Linked DNA regions of Mus musculus. The protein of the gene in region 1 interacts with the protein of each later gene in a pairwise test. Links are inferred from orthologs where the notes say so. Each region holds a gene or a part of one and is shown in the gene's direction. Other genes may lie near its edges.

Region 1 (5,925 bases):
TATGCCAGGTGTGGCAATGCACACACCTTTAACCCAAGCCCCTGAGAAGCAGAGCAGATGGGTCTCCGAGTTTGCGGCCAGTCTGGACTACATAACCAGTTACAGACCAGGCAAGCATGACCTGGAGATTAATAATGAATGGAGGTAATGAGTAAATAAATCCTAAAGCAGACACAGGAAAATGGCTAGGGTTGAAATTGGTGAAAAGTTGGGGTGGTTTCATGAACCCAGAGATTACTGGAAGGTTCCAAATGACTCAAAGGGTTGTACTGCAGTAGATCAAAAAATATGTATGTGCCATCTTTACTGCTCCTGAATCCAGGAGTCTTTATAAAAAGTTTGGAGTATGAGTAGTTTCTGTTTCTTTTGTTTTTTTGAGACAGGGTAACATAAACCGGCCTCTCCTCTCTTAGTGCTGCAATAACAGGCCTGGGACACCATGTCTCCTTTCCGAAACAGAACTGGATGCCAGCCAGGGTTTCCTGGCACGCCCACCGCCCACCAGCAACTCACAAGACTCCCTCAAGGGTGCTCTTTATTTTATATGTTTTGAGATGGTGGAGGCTGGCTTCAAACTTGGTACTTAGCTCACCGTGGCCTTTAACTCCTAATCTTTCTGCCTTCACCTCCCAAATACAGGGCTGACAGGTCCTTGACAGCAGGATTGGCTCCACGAGACCCACACAATTCAATCAAATTATATTCTTCAGCAAGTCAGAGATTTGATGAGGTCCGTGACACTAGAGCACTCCTTACCTTCACTGAGCCCATGGCCCAAAAGCAATTCATACAACTAATTCATTAGCTAAATAACCCACTTACTAGCCACAGCTTCAAGAAAACTGTTGCAGGCATTCGAGCTGTTTGCAGATAAAGAAAGGTTTCTTCCTCCACCTAACAACAGCAGCAACAACAACAAGAAAAGATTTAGAAACTAGTGATTGGGTTCCAGATCAGCAAGGCTACATAGTGAGATTCTGTCTTAAAATTAAAAACAAAAACAAAAGACAGAGGCAATTATTCTTTTGTTGTTGTTGTTGTTTTTGAGACAGGGTTTCTCTGTATAGCCCAGGCTGTCCTGGAACTCACTCTGCAGACCAGGCTGGCCTCAAACTCAGAAATCCACCTGCCTCTGCCTCCAGAGTGCTGGGATTAAAGGCCGGCTGAAAAACATTTTTTTATACATCGTATCACTGGCTGTCTTGGATCTTGCTATGTAGATCAGGTTGTCCTCGAACTCAGAGATCCACCTGCTTGTAAATCCCAAGTACTAGGATTAAAAGCATGAAGCACCAGACTCAATTTTTTTCATTTAATATTCTTCAAAGTAATTTACACGAAAAGAAGGAATATATGGTTGAAAAGATTTATAATTTTACAATAGAAAAACATTCCTAATTTTAAAATAAAGCAAATTGTTAATTTATTAAAAAGTGGTTCATCATTTCAAAAATGAAATGCCCAGCTGTAACATTTTTAGAAAGAGTTTATATCCGGGCAATGGTGGCACACGCCTTTAATCCCAGCACTTGGGAGACAGAGGTAGGCAGATTTCTGAGTTCAAGGCCAGCCTGGTCTACAGAGTGAGTTCCAGGACAGCCAGGGCTACAAAGAGAAACCCTGTCTCGAAAAAAAATTATAGTTAAAAGAGAAATTAATGCAAGAAATAAAATTAAAGGAAGTAATTCTCTAATTACAATGGCTACTTTCAACCCGTCACTATTATACCTTAATTCCCATTACTCTTCCAATGGGTAATTTCAAGTTGTCACTACTAATCTAAACGTACCCTTCCCACCTCCTGGAACGCATATAGCCAATAAAAGGGGTGTGGGGGGTGTGCAAACGCTGATATTTTAGATTGACATTTCTTAGGATCAATAGAAATGCAGATCTTCCCAGCAGCTCCTGAACCGCCGGAAAGGAGCCTTCATCCGCCTCCCGCGGGATTTTCTAGCACATAAACCGAAGTTCTCGCGAGGACGTACTGAGTGCACCTCTTTTTCCGGAGGCTGAGGTGTCACGTGACGCAAGCTCCTCCAATCGGCGCGCGGGCCGCGGTGGTTGCCGCGGTTCCCGCCAAATACGAGCGCGGCGGCCGCGGCGGCAGCAGAAGTGACACCGGTGGGAGGCGGAGTGTGCAGCCTGGCCGCCCGACTGAAGCCTGAGCCGCCGCCGCCGCCGCCGCCGCCGCCGCCGCCGCCGCCGTCGCGGAGATGTTGGAGGAGCCGGAGGCCGCGACGCGGACAGCCGCGGGTGGGTGAAACTGCCTAAAGGAGCGGATCCAAGCCTAAGTGGCCTCGGGGCGGAGACCAGGAGAAGGGAGGGCTCTTAGGAAACTGAGGCCTCGGGGAGGGGGAAGAGTCAGCTTCGCAAGCTCCCGAAGGCATCTTGTGTCGCCTAAATAGCTGGAGTAAATGGGGAAACCGAGGCCCCGAGTTGGATTTGATGGATCCTGAGTGCTTGTGTCCTCTTGAAATCAATTGGATCTTGTAGCAGCAAGTGGAGAAACTGAGGGCAAGGAGAAGAAAAGTCAGTCGTACAAGTTATTAAGTGCGTTTGTGAATTCCAGAGCAGTTCGGACCTTTGCAATGGGCGGGGAAATTGAGGCCCGTGCTCACTTGAGCTCTGGACACCAGAGTAGCAGCAACTCTGCGGGGCAGGGCTAGTCCAGGAAGGTCGGTTTGGGTGGTTAAAGCATAGCCAGGAACCCTTTCTGGGTCCCGAAAAGGGGCCCTTTGTGAGTGTGGTATGGACCAGTCGGGTACGTGTTAGGAGTCTTTGTAGCATGCGGTAGGCTTCCCGAAATGTGGGGTGCCTATTCCCCGCTAAATTGTATCCCCAGTGTGTGTTGAACGATTGAGGGGCTGGAAAAGACGAGGTCGGTCCTGATAGACTAAGATTTCTCCAATTGAGCACCACTGACTAGACAGCCCTTCTGGGTACATTACACTAGTCTGCAAGCTCGGAGATGAGGGGAATTGGGGATGGCCAATTTCAGGATGGAGAGCCGCATCCTCAATCTCCATCCACTTCTGGGATAACTCTGGCCCCTTTTACAGTTCTGATCATCAAAGATACACACACACACACACACACACACACACACACACACACACACACACACCCTTCACAGCCTGGTATTCCAGGAAGGCTGGAGCTGTTGTTCTGACTGGCTTGAGAATTTTATGTGGGCATTAATAGTCGTACAATTCCTGGACTCTCATGGAGCATTGTTTTTATTTAACCAAGGTGGAACGTTTAAAACCGACACTATTGCTCTGGCAATAAAGACCAGTTTGGTGTAGCAGTTCATACCTGCAGTTCAGCATCCTAGAAGCTGAGGCAGGAGGATGATGAATTTCAGGTTGATCTGGCCTCTGACCACCTGAATTGTATCCTGGGAAGAAGAGAATCAATTCCACAAGCCTGTATCCAATAAATTAATTAAAGTGGAATAAAACTTTTAAAGAAAAAAGTGTCCTTCGGGGGGGGGTGGCTTTTTTTTTTAAAATAGAAAATTGAGGTGATGTTACCTTCCATTCAAATGAGAAGAAGGGAGAGTGTTCTGGGGGTCCGAGTCTCTAAGTTGGTGTGCCTGGGCTGTTTCTACTCTGGATAGCTGAGGTTGTAGGAAAGCTTAAGTCTGAATTGCATGCAACATTAGCAAAATGTATGGGAATTCACCCCAAATTACTGATGGAGTTTCTATGCACCCAAGGCATTTACCTATGGCAGGTTCTCATCTGGGTGTGGTGGCACACACCTTTAATCCCAGCAGCACTCAGAGGCAGATGCAAGTGGATCTCTGAGTTTGAGGCCGGCCTGATCTACATAGCAAGTTCAAGACAATCAAGACTATGTAGAGAGTCTCAAAACAAACAAAAAGACAGGCTCTATTTATGGTCTAATATACATGGGTTTTAATGTGCTTACTTATTCTTGCGACTTTAAATTCATTTTAGTGGGAGATAATCTCTTTCATGAGGTCTTTAATTTGTTTCTTTTTTGTAGTTATTAGTTTTAGACCAGGTCCCCATGTAGCCCAGGCAAGCCTCTAACTCCAAGTGTTAACATGCCCTAGTTTATGCAAGGCTAGGATGGAACTTAGACACTCCTACATGTTAGGTCAGCATGCTACCCATTGAGCCCAACCCCAGGTTCTTTATTGTGTCTTGACATGAGTACAGATTCTGCAACGAAATTTATTCATTTCATCTATTTAAGAGTAGGATACCTTCACTTAAAAAAATTGGTTTTGTTTACTTAAAGATTTATTTCTTGTTATGTGTCTGTGTATGTCTATGCACATGAGCTAGGTGCCCATGGAAGCCAGAGAGGGCACTGGATCCCTTGGTGCTAGACTTTCGGTGGTTGGTTATGAACTGTTGGATCTGGGATCAGAACAGCAAGTGCTTTTAGTTTCTGATCCATTTGTCCAGTCACACTCACTGTGTCTGTGTGAATCAGTTCTTCCCTTCCCCCATGTGGGTCCTGAGGATTGAGCTTTAGAGTCAGGAGGCTTGGAAAGTCCCCCTCCCTACTCACTGAACCATCTTGTCAGCCCTCACTTGACTTTTGGGACATTTTTGGACAGTTGAGCCTTAACTGACCTAGAAGAAGGGCCATAATGCAAGTTTCTGAGTGAGGGACTCAGGAGGGACTGAGTCTAGGGTAGTGTTGCTCAGTGTTGACATTTTGAGCCAAATAATTTTTTGTTGTGGGACTGACTTGTTCATTGTAGATTGTTTATAGGGAGTGCCTGTATAGTAACTGAAAGTGAGTAGCATCCCCAAACCTTCCCCAGCCATGAAGACTGCCTCTGGGGGCTCAGAATGGGGCATAAGGGTCAGGGTACTTGCTGTTAAGTCTGACCACTTGGGCTCTGCCATTAGAACCTACAAGTAGACCAACAGGACTGACTCCTGCAAGTTGATATGTTCTGTGACACTCCATGTGGCAATGTGGACTGGCAGGTGCACACACAGCAAATATAAAAACATAAAACTGCTGGGGCTGGAGAGATGGCTCAGCAGTTAAGAACACTGACTGCTATTCTAGAGGTCCTGAGTTTACTTCCCAGCAACCACATGGCAGCTCACAACCATCTGTAATGGGATCTAATGCTCTCTTCTGGTGCGTCTGAAGACAGCTACAGTGTACTCATATATATTAAATAAGTTAATTAAAAAAAAAAAGTAAAACTGCAGAGAAGGAGAGAGGCTCAGCGGTTAAGGACACTCATTACTCTTACAGAGGACCAGAGTTCCCATCCAAGCACCTACATCCAGTGCCTCAGAACTGCCTATAGCTCCAGATCCAGGGGAACTGATAGATACCATGCACACAAACACATGTATACACGTAAATAAAAATACACTGTGGCTGGGCATGGTGGTAGGTATGTGTCTTCATTCCCAGCATTTGAGAGGCAGGGGCAAGTAGACCTTTGTAAGTTCCAGGTCATCCCAATTACATACTAAGACCCCCATATACAAACAAACTAAGTAATGATTTTTTTAAGTCTAAAAGCAGGCTGTGATACTTTGTGCCTGGGATGTTAGCATTTGGGAGGCAGAGTCAGGATTGCCATGAGTTTTTCTAGGTCAGCCTGTGCTGCATAGTTCAACCCTGTCTCAAGCAAAGAGGCGGTTCAAGTGGACCAGACAGCGCCGCAGGAGCCTGCTTGTGTTTGGCTGTTGTAGACTTTAGCTGGCCAATGACCCTTACCCTTAGTAACTTCTGCTTTTCTGTCTTTACCTACAGCCGTGGATTGCAAAGACAGACCCGGGTTCCCAGTGAAGAGGTTAATACAAGGTAACTTAAGTTCTAAACCTGGTTCCTAAGTTGTTTCCATTGGCTTCTGTGGGGTCCTTAGTGGCCTGTGAGGGGCTGAGTGGAGGGCAGTAGTTTCTCCCTTCAGGC
Region 2 (4,245 bases), on another chromosome or scaffold:
CCTGCTAATTGTTTTATTTTATTTTATATCTTTGTGACTTGTTTATGATTGTGTTTAACTAAAAACACAACTGCTATTTATACTCTTTGAGAAGACAATTTGGAACTAGCAGATTTTAATTATTTCCTTCACTTTGGGGGAGTTGTATAACAGGATGAATTTTTTATGACAGGATAGTATATATTTTAATTATCCAACCCCCCCCCCCCCACACACACACACACACTTTGGCGTTCTTTGAAGCGCATGTAGAGGTAAGAGGACAACTTTTGGAAGTTGATTCTGTCCTTCCATGGATCAAACTCAATTTGTCAGGCTTGGTAGCAAGCGCAATTATTCTCTAAGCTATCTTGTTGGCCATGCAAGATGATATTCTCTATTTCCCCTCCATTACTTGTTTTAGTCAGTAAATGACTGGAGAACGTAAGAGGTGGAGCCAGATAACCCTGAGTTATTTCTGTTGTTGAGACAGTCCACCTACCTCAGCCTCCCGCGTGCTGGGAGTGCAGTGCGCTAAACGGGGCTGGATAATCTTAAGCTTAAATCGTGCAATTCCTTTCTAGAACTCTAAAGTATGGACAAGCTACTCAGCTTCTCCAAACCCCAATCAACCCTAATACTCGTGTATACAATGACATGCTAATACATCATAGACTAAGAGAACAGGTGCGTATTAGCAACTGAAGGCAAACAAGATTCCGCCTGACCTGTCAAAGCACCAAAGTTCGGTCCAGGCCTCAGGCCGTGGGTATCTCGGCCAATCTCTGGACGTCGTGTACATTTATACAGAATGGGGTTAGCGGCCTCGCAGTGCAGCTGAAAAACTTTGGTAGGTAAAAGACGTAATGTAGATATAGAGGGAAAATAAGGCTGCGGGGGTCCCCGTATGCAAATCTGCGCCTTACTGCCGAACGCGGGCGCTGGCGCTTCCGCACTTCCCCTCCAGAGCACCCGGACAACTCTCTGGCGCGGGGGCGGAGATTTGCATGTGCGAAATCGGGAAGAGGGGGAACCACCGGTCGAAAACCCCGGGCGGGCCTCGGGCGGCCAAGGAGCGCGCCCGGTGCACCGCCCGGCCCGCCTCCGGCCGCTCGGCCAGCATGACGTCACGAACACGCCCCTCGGCTTTAAGCGGCGCTCTCAAGGACTCTGGAGGAGGGGGATTTCTCAGGGACCGACGGCTTCTCACGCGCGGAGTCGTCGCTGCGCGCCCTCACGGAGCTCCCGGCGCGAGCGTGCAGGCTGTGGTGGCTCTGGAGGAAGTAAGCGCACTGGCCCGCGCGGGGTCGCGCGCCCGCCGCGAGGCTCCGCCCCCCGCCCCGGGTAGGCGGTGGCGCGAGTGACGTAAGCAGCGGGAAATCCCCCCCCCTCCCCCCACGTTCCGCCGGGCGGTCCGCCCCGCCCCCTGCCCCTGCCGCGGCATCCTGGCAAGGCGACGCCAGGACACTAGTGACCGGAGCGCGAAGATTCGGGGGTGGGAAGGTGTGAGCCGCAAACCCAGAGGAGCCGGGAAAGAAGAGGAGGCCCGGGGGTGGTCCGAGGACAGGCGTCCCGGCTGCGGAGGCTGCTCAGCCTCCTCACTGGTTGGCTGACTGACGGGCTAGCTGGCTGACTGCCTGCCTGACCGACTGCCTGGCTGACTGACTCACTGACTGACTGACTGGCTGCCTTGCAGCCTCGGGCCGGACGCTGGAAGCTGCAGCGAGCGGCGCGCGGAGCCGAGCCATGGCCTCGAGTGAGTACCGGGGCGAGCACTCGCGGGTCACGGGGAGGAGCTGTCGGGGGCTCCGTTTGGGGTTAGGACGGTCTGCCTTTCAAGTCTTCTCATCTGGCAAATTGTCAGCCGTTTGAAAAGTTGCCCGCTCCGGGGTTTGCGTGTGAAATCAAAGCGGCGCACTGTAATCTGATCTTCTCCTAATAGCCAGAACCTTCGAAATTCCCAACGGTGTGCTTTTAGGATCACAGGGGGTAATCTCAGTAAAGGAGAGCAGAGAAGCCTCGCGTTTAAAGACTCAGTGGTATGGAGACCCAGTTTTACATTTTTGAACAAAAAAGAGGAACCTCCGGACCTCAGACGAGCTTTCTTTTTTTAAGTCCAATCGTGCTAGCGGCTGACACTGGTACAGAATGTGGCGTGGCTGTGAAAGTCCTCAGTGGCGTTTTAATTCGTTCCAAGCGAAAACACTACCCCCGCCCCCACGAGCTAAAGATGTTGCTTGTCTAATTTACCGTGTAGAGACCTCGATCCCTTCAACCCCCAACCCCAAACCTGCACGCGCGTTTTGTTAGCAGCAAGAGGACGAGATTTGATTATACTTTAAAGTAACTGGTAGGGTTGAAAATGTCATCGTTTAATGTCAGTGTTTTATCTGCCACTAGTAAGTTTTGGATCATCTGCTTTGAGGGGGACATTTATAAGAAACAGTTTACAGGACAGGGGAGTTTAGTATGACAGTCGTACTATATGTAAAGCAAGCACTTGAAGCAGCTGAGATGGTGGTGGGAGCTAAAAATGACACCTTCTGTCTGTAGCAGGACGCTGACCCTTATCTTCCCAGTGACCCTCAGTAGAAGGCAGCCGACGTCTGGCAGAGAAGAGGAAGTAGAAAGCTTAGTGAACTCTTTAAGAGTTGAGCAGAACAATATCATAACTCCTGCTGTAAAGGAAACTGGGGTGTTTCACATGACACTTGATTTCAGTTTGTCTGTGGTTTTCATGAGAAAACAAGTGTAGTTTAAAATATTTCAACTTTCTCTTTACCCATTTAAATGAAGCCAGGCTTTCAGATGCTCTAGTAAATTTGTAAATTTAACTCATGTTCTGATTAGAAGCACAAAAAGGCTTTAAGTATTTAATTCATTGGTAATCAGAAAGAGATTTTTGTATGACATTTGTAAAGAGTGGCAAGCTTTGTTAAAACAGTTCTGTCCTTGTCTACCTAATAGAATCTTATTATATAGTGTATGAATGCAATACTTGAATTTTTTTCAACAGAAAAGTCATTTATTAAAGAACTGTAAGACAGATATGATTTTAAAATGTAATACAATTGCAATTTGCCTAAGGACATATATTTTGTGCTGTTATAGAAATGATTCCAAAAGTTAAAGTGGGGAACTTTTTAAAAGAAATGGCAAGTTTTAAGGATTTAGAAGTTGGGTTGGGCTTGCCCAGCTTCTGTGAAGCCCTGGGTTCAGTTCTCAGTACTGTCAGAGAAAAAAAAAAAATCCCAACAAACATAGAAAACAAATCTGCAAGTTGTAGTATCATTATCTTCTTGCTTTTTGATCTTTTATCAAGGGTTGCACTAAATGAGACTACTTAAAATACACCATGTCATTTAAATTGTAATTCTGCTATTTGAAGTTTCTAGGCAAAAATATAGTTTAAAGGAGTCTGGGTACCTTATATCAGTTATAAAGACCAAATAGAGAAAAATTATGAAATAAATTTAAAATTCCCATTCCCTTTGAAATACTAATTTAAAAGCAACAAAACTGTTTAACTTATGATTATGTAATTTAGATCCTTTTTTTTGCAATATAGTACTGAAACCTAGGAAAGTATTCATATTGATTACCAAGCATTGAGATCATTTGTTCATTCCTCTCCGATGTCATATGTAAATAGGTATGTGTAATTGAATAGGTGGTGCTTATAAATGTAAAGTGTCGTAGATAATAATCTCCTGGGCAGAATTATATAAATGTTGTGAAAAGACAGGATTTTATATGATGATACTAATTATTGTTCAGGTAAATTAGCAAGTTAAGACTTCCTAGCTAGCCATTAAGCTGTTTTTCATTGCCTTTTAAACAATACTGTGCTTTGTTCTAGCTTTTTGATAAGATTAATTATAGCAGGCAACATGGAAAAAAATGTTCCTGATCAAAGATCTGCATATTTAAGCAGTCATTATTCAAACAATTGTATTCTATTTAAGTTAGCTGTCTTGTGTCCATATCTAAAAATTTTCACTATTTCCTAAAAAGAACAAAGTGGAGGGAGGTGCACAGTTGCCTTGTAAGATACATACTATTTTACTAATGATTAAGATTGTCTTTGGTGAAATGTACTTTAAAATTTAGAAAGTTTGTATTTAGTCACATTTTTTTTCTTTAACATGATTCTGCTGTGTCACATAACAGGAAGTATAGGAAGGAATTATTTTTGTGGACCTTACTACTCACCAACTTTTTGTATGAATTTCAAGATAACCTTTCCCCCCCCCCAATAAAAGTGAA
Region 3 (4,269 bases), on another chromosome or scaffold:
ACTATGAAGAACTACGTGCAGCTATGGATGTTGATCTTAGAACTATAGAACAGTCTATAACCAAATTAGAAGAATCTTTAACTTCCCTGTCCGAAGTGGTGCTACAAAATAGAAGGGGATTAGACTTATTATTCCTTAAAGAAGGAGGACTCTGTGCTGCCCTAAAAGAAGAATGTTGTTTTTATGTTGACCATTCAGGAGTAATCAAAGATTCTATGGCCAAACTTAGAGAACGCCTAGATATACGTAAAAGAGAAAGAGAAAGCCAACAAGGATGGTTCGAAAGCTGGTTTAATAAGTCCCCTTGGCTCACCACTCTCCTCTCCACCATAGCAGGACCTTTAATTACACTTATGCTTTTGCTTACTTTTGGCCCCTGCATCCTTAATAAGTTGGTAGCTTTTATTAGAGAAAGGATAAATGCAGTACATGTTATGGTACTAAGGCAACAATATCGGGTCCTCCAAGAGGTTGAAAACTGGCTCTAAGATTAGAGCTGTTTTCTAAAAGGAGTGGGGGATGAAGAATAAAGATAAAAAATTACTGAACTCTTCCTCACCCCAGAGCCCGACCCCTCCCATCTAGAGATTGTTCCCAGAACACTCCTGAACTCTTCACCCCAGAATGCATTCCTGAACTCCTCATCCTAGAGTTCGAACCCTCCCAACTAAAGACTGTTCCAAGAACATTTTTGAGATAAGGGCCTCCTGGAACAACCTCAGAATGAACCGGGTACATTGCCAAATAATAGGACATGACCCCTTAGTTACGTAGAATTCCCTTGGCAGAACCCCTTGTCCCTTGGCAGAACCCCTTAGTTATGCAAACTTGTACTTTCCCTGCCCCGCTCTCCCCCCTTGAGTTTTTCTTATATAAGCCTGTGAAAAATTTGGCTCGAGGTCGATTCTCCTCTACACCATACTAGGTGTATGAGCTTTGACCCCAGAGCTCTGGTCTATGTGCTTTCTTGCTGTTGCTTTATTAAATCTTGCCCTCTACATTTTGAGTTCGGTCTCAGTGTCTTCTTGGGTCCGCGGCTGAGTGAGGGTCTCCCTTCGGGGGTCTTTCATTTGCACACCACACCTCCTCCTTGGTTCCCAAGCAAGGAACCTGGCCAGGGTGCAGCGATCCTATTCCACAAAGAAGCGGGTACCAATCCTGAAGAAGGCAGTCACAGGAACAAAGGCGGAATGTCTCCTGGAAAAGGAAGTGGACAGGCATAACCTCGTCGTTCAGTGCTCCTGCTATTTGTGGAGACCGAAATTCGGAGTGGGCCGAGCCGGCCAGGCCATTCACGCCCCCTTGTGTCCGGAGCGACTTTGGAGCGGAGCAGCAGGGAAGGTGGAGGTGCCTGTGCACCGAGGCGCGCAGACGCACAGGCAACCGAGACCCGGCGGGCTGCGGGTGTTGTCAGTGCGCAGGCGCTGAAGATCCCCGGGAATCCGCGCGCCGCTGTGAAGCCGCAGTGCGCAGGCGCGGAGCCTCCCCAATGAGGGCACGCGTGACCAGGCTGTACACACAGCGGCTGGTCCTAGTCGGAGCCCCAAAGGCAAGCATTTGGTTTCCGGTTCCGGGAGTAAGCAACCGCCGCAGAGGCGACTGTTTTGGAAGAGGCACTGGTGGAGGAGGAAGAGAAGAAGAGTGGAACGGGCCGGTCGCGCTAGTGGGATCCTTCTCATGGGTCCACGGGCCTAGAGCGGAGGAAGCTGCGGGCCTGGTGTCAAGCTGGTGAGACAGCCGTGGGAGTGGCGACAGCTCGGGAGGAGGCTGTGGAGGCTCGGAACGCTAGCGGGGGCCCTCGCCTCCGGAGAAGGAATGACTTCCTCTGAATGTTTAAAGAGGGGACTGGGGTAACTGGACAGAAAGACCGAAGAGGAAGGGATGTGGCTCAGGGCATTGACAGCGGTGTCTAGATTCTGGGACTAGGATGGCGAGGAGTAGAAGAGAGAGAACGTTCAGAGAGTCATTGAGTCTTCGTGTTAAACAGGATAGAAATGGCGTCCCAAAGCTGATCATGCAAAGATAAGGCCTCGAGACGGGAGAAATAGTTAGAATAATGAGGGACTGGACACTCTTGGTGGACAAAAAGAAGTAGAATGTCCGATGGTTGGGAGGGAAGGCCTTGTCTTGGAACACAAAACTAGGAAATTGGGAGGCCAGGTCACTGTGGAGGGAAAAGGAAGTTTCACAAGATGATAAGAGGAATGGAGAATGGTAATACAGTTAGAGAAAGAGTAGCTAACACCGGCTGTAGGGGTGAGCAATAGAGACGCTTGGGACCGAGACTGGAGAAGAGTTGTGGGTCTGAATAATGAGGGGAAAATAAGCTCTGGGGCCAACTCTTGAACTTAAGAGGGAGGCTTCCAACCTGAGGAATGGGAAGAATGTGTGGTAATGTTTGATCCAGTGTATGGAGGAGTTGGGGGCTCTGATCCATAAATGCAGCTAGAACACCGGGAGACGTTGGAAACTCAGGTCAAGGAAAGTTTAAATGGGTGCTTAGAACACTGAAGCAGGGTCCCAAGGACCAGAGAATTAGGGACCTCTTACCCAGAATAGGAGGACCGAGTCTTCTCAGACTGAGGAAGGGTGATATGCATGTTTGGAGGAGAACAAAGAGGGAGAAACAGGTTGCTTTTGTGGCCTGGAAATACTTTGCCACTCTCCCCTATACTCTACTTTCTTTCAATCTTGCAGGCTTCTGTTCTGTCCCTGAAGCATCTATGGCTGAGTCCTGGCAGGACTGCCCAGCCCTGGGCCCTGGCTGGAAACGCCGAGAGTCCTTTCGAAAGTCAGGGGCCTCGTTTGGACGCTCAGACATCTATTACCAGAGGTAACGGGTGTGCTCTGGGCAATGTTCAGTGGCGTTGGACCTTGTTAGTAATTAGAGCAAAGGGGTGTGTTTAAATCTATGGATGGAGTTAAAATTGTGCACATAGTCCTTATTACAAGTTTTGTGTTTTCTTAATCATGTATTCCTAATAAAGTTGATTTAATTTGGTCAAAGTCAATATTCACGGTGCATTTGTGATTATTCACAGACAAACATGGAACAGCTAAGAATTTGAATTGTCTAGTGCGTGTATTCGGAATCAAAGTTAAACAAGAACTCTCTCTCTCTCTCTCTCTCTGGTTCTGTAAACTGGTCATTCTTTCTACTGTCTCTTTAGAGCCATATTTTTGTTGGCAAATGTGTTGTTTAAAATGACTCCCAAATAAAGTGCTGAATTATTTTCTAGTGTTCTGAGCACGAGAAGATTTTCTTTCCTCCTTGTCAGATAAGCTTTTCTTCCACACATGAATTGCAGTGCTGTCTGGTTGAGTTGCTGTGTTCAAAAATTAGAACTGGTCCATCCAGAACAAGAAGAACAAACTTGCTGAGATGTGTGTGAGGCTGCTCTGGAAAGAACAGAAATTGTTGTAGGCTATTTAGTCACACTGTGAACCCCCTGAGACTGATTAGACCTACTAGGAAAAAAGTCTTGTTTGTAGCTGTGGTGTGGCTCAAACTTAGGTCAAGAGGCAGAACAAGCAACCAGTTGACAGGAAGTGAACATAAGATAATTAAAATATCATAGAGAATAAGAGGTAGTCATGAGGGTGGATAGAGAGATGCACAGGAAGTAGAAGGGAGGGACTTTCAGTTTGAAGAAGGGATTTTGTGTGAGTGGGAAAAGCTTGCTGGGCTGTCAGCAGAGGAGGAAGGTCAACTGGGTGCTTTCTCTGCCTCTCTGAGCTATCGGGCTCCCAAGTCTTCAATGGTAAAATCGAATGATTGAGATTTTTGTTAAAAAACAAGAAATTACCATCTATAGTGCTTGATGAAGCTTCAGAGAAGTTGTTAAGGTAGCCGTGAACCAATGGCCTTACAGTAAAGCACAGTACCAGCATCGTTACAGGGAAAGCCAAAAATGTATCAGCCATCATTAGGGAAATGGAACCCTCTCAGCTGGTGCTGGCTGGCCTGTGTGTCTCAGAAGATGATGTGGTGGAGAAACACTGTACTTACGGTATATGTTCTGTACAGCAGGTGTCTTCAGGAAAACAACAAAACATTAGCAGACAAACCTAGATAAAACATCCTCTAAAGCCATTGGCTCTTAGTCATTAACAATCATGGAGTCATTTGTACGAAACCAGTGTTTTTAAGCAGAGACTCATAAAACAGAGGACAATTGATCAGTTGCTTGAAAATGTGACAGGCTTGCTGGAACCCACCTGTGTCTCCTGTAGGCACAGTGGTCCTTGTTTCAAAAATTCAGGGTTTGT

The links. The genes of interacting proteins can lie anywhere in the genome.
Region 2: the proteins of Chaf1a (region 1) and Rel interact in binary tests that used the Homo sapiens proteins (3 or more experiments, as listed by UniProt). The two-hybrid records come from large-scale screens. The link is inferred for Mus musculus from reciprocal best matches to the Homo sapiens genes CHAF1A and REL.
Region 3: the proteins of Chaf1a (region 1) and Mbd1 interact in binary tests that used the Homo sapiens proteins (3 or more experiments, as listed by UniProt). The link is inferred for Mus musculus from reciprocal best matches to the Homo sapiens genes CHAF1A and MBD1.

What each region holds. Positions count from the first base shown.
Region 1 is NC_000083.6:56,038,296-56,044,220, forward strand, and holds the start of Chaf1a (chromatin assembly factor 1 subunit A), read left to right. Parts: upstream 1-2,120; 5' UTR 2,121-2,216; coding exon 2,217-2,256; intron 2,257-5,766; coding exon 5,767-5,817; intron 5,818-5,925. UniProt on the Homo sapiens protein: Acts as a component of the histone chaperone complex chromatin assembly factor 1 (CAF-1), which assembles histone octamers onto DNA during replication and repair.
Region 2 is NC_000077.6:23,768,170-23,772,414, reverse strand, and holds the start of Rel (proto-oncogene c-Rel), read left to right. Parts: upstream 1-1,445; 5' UTR 1,446-1,725; coding exon 1,726-1,735; intron 1,736-4,245. UniProt on the Homo sapiens protein: Proto-oncogene that may play a role in differentiation and lymphopoiesis.
Region 3 is NC_000084.6:74,266,706-74,270,974, forward strand, and holds the start of Mbd1 (methyl-CpG-binding domain protein 1), read left to right. Parts: upstream 1-1,469; 5' UTR 1,470-1,728; intron 1,729-2,697; 5' UTR 2,698-2,723; coding exon 2,724-2,833; intron 2,834-4,269. UniProt on the Homo sapiens protein: Transcriptional repressor that binds CpG islands in promoters where the DNA is methylated at position 5 of cytosine within CpG dinucleotides. Binding is abolished by the presence of 7-mG that is produced by DNA damage by methylmethanesulfonate (MMS).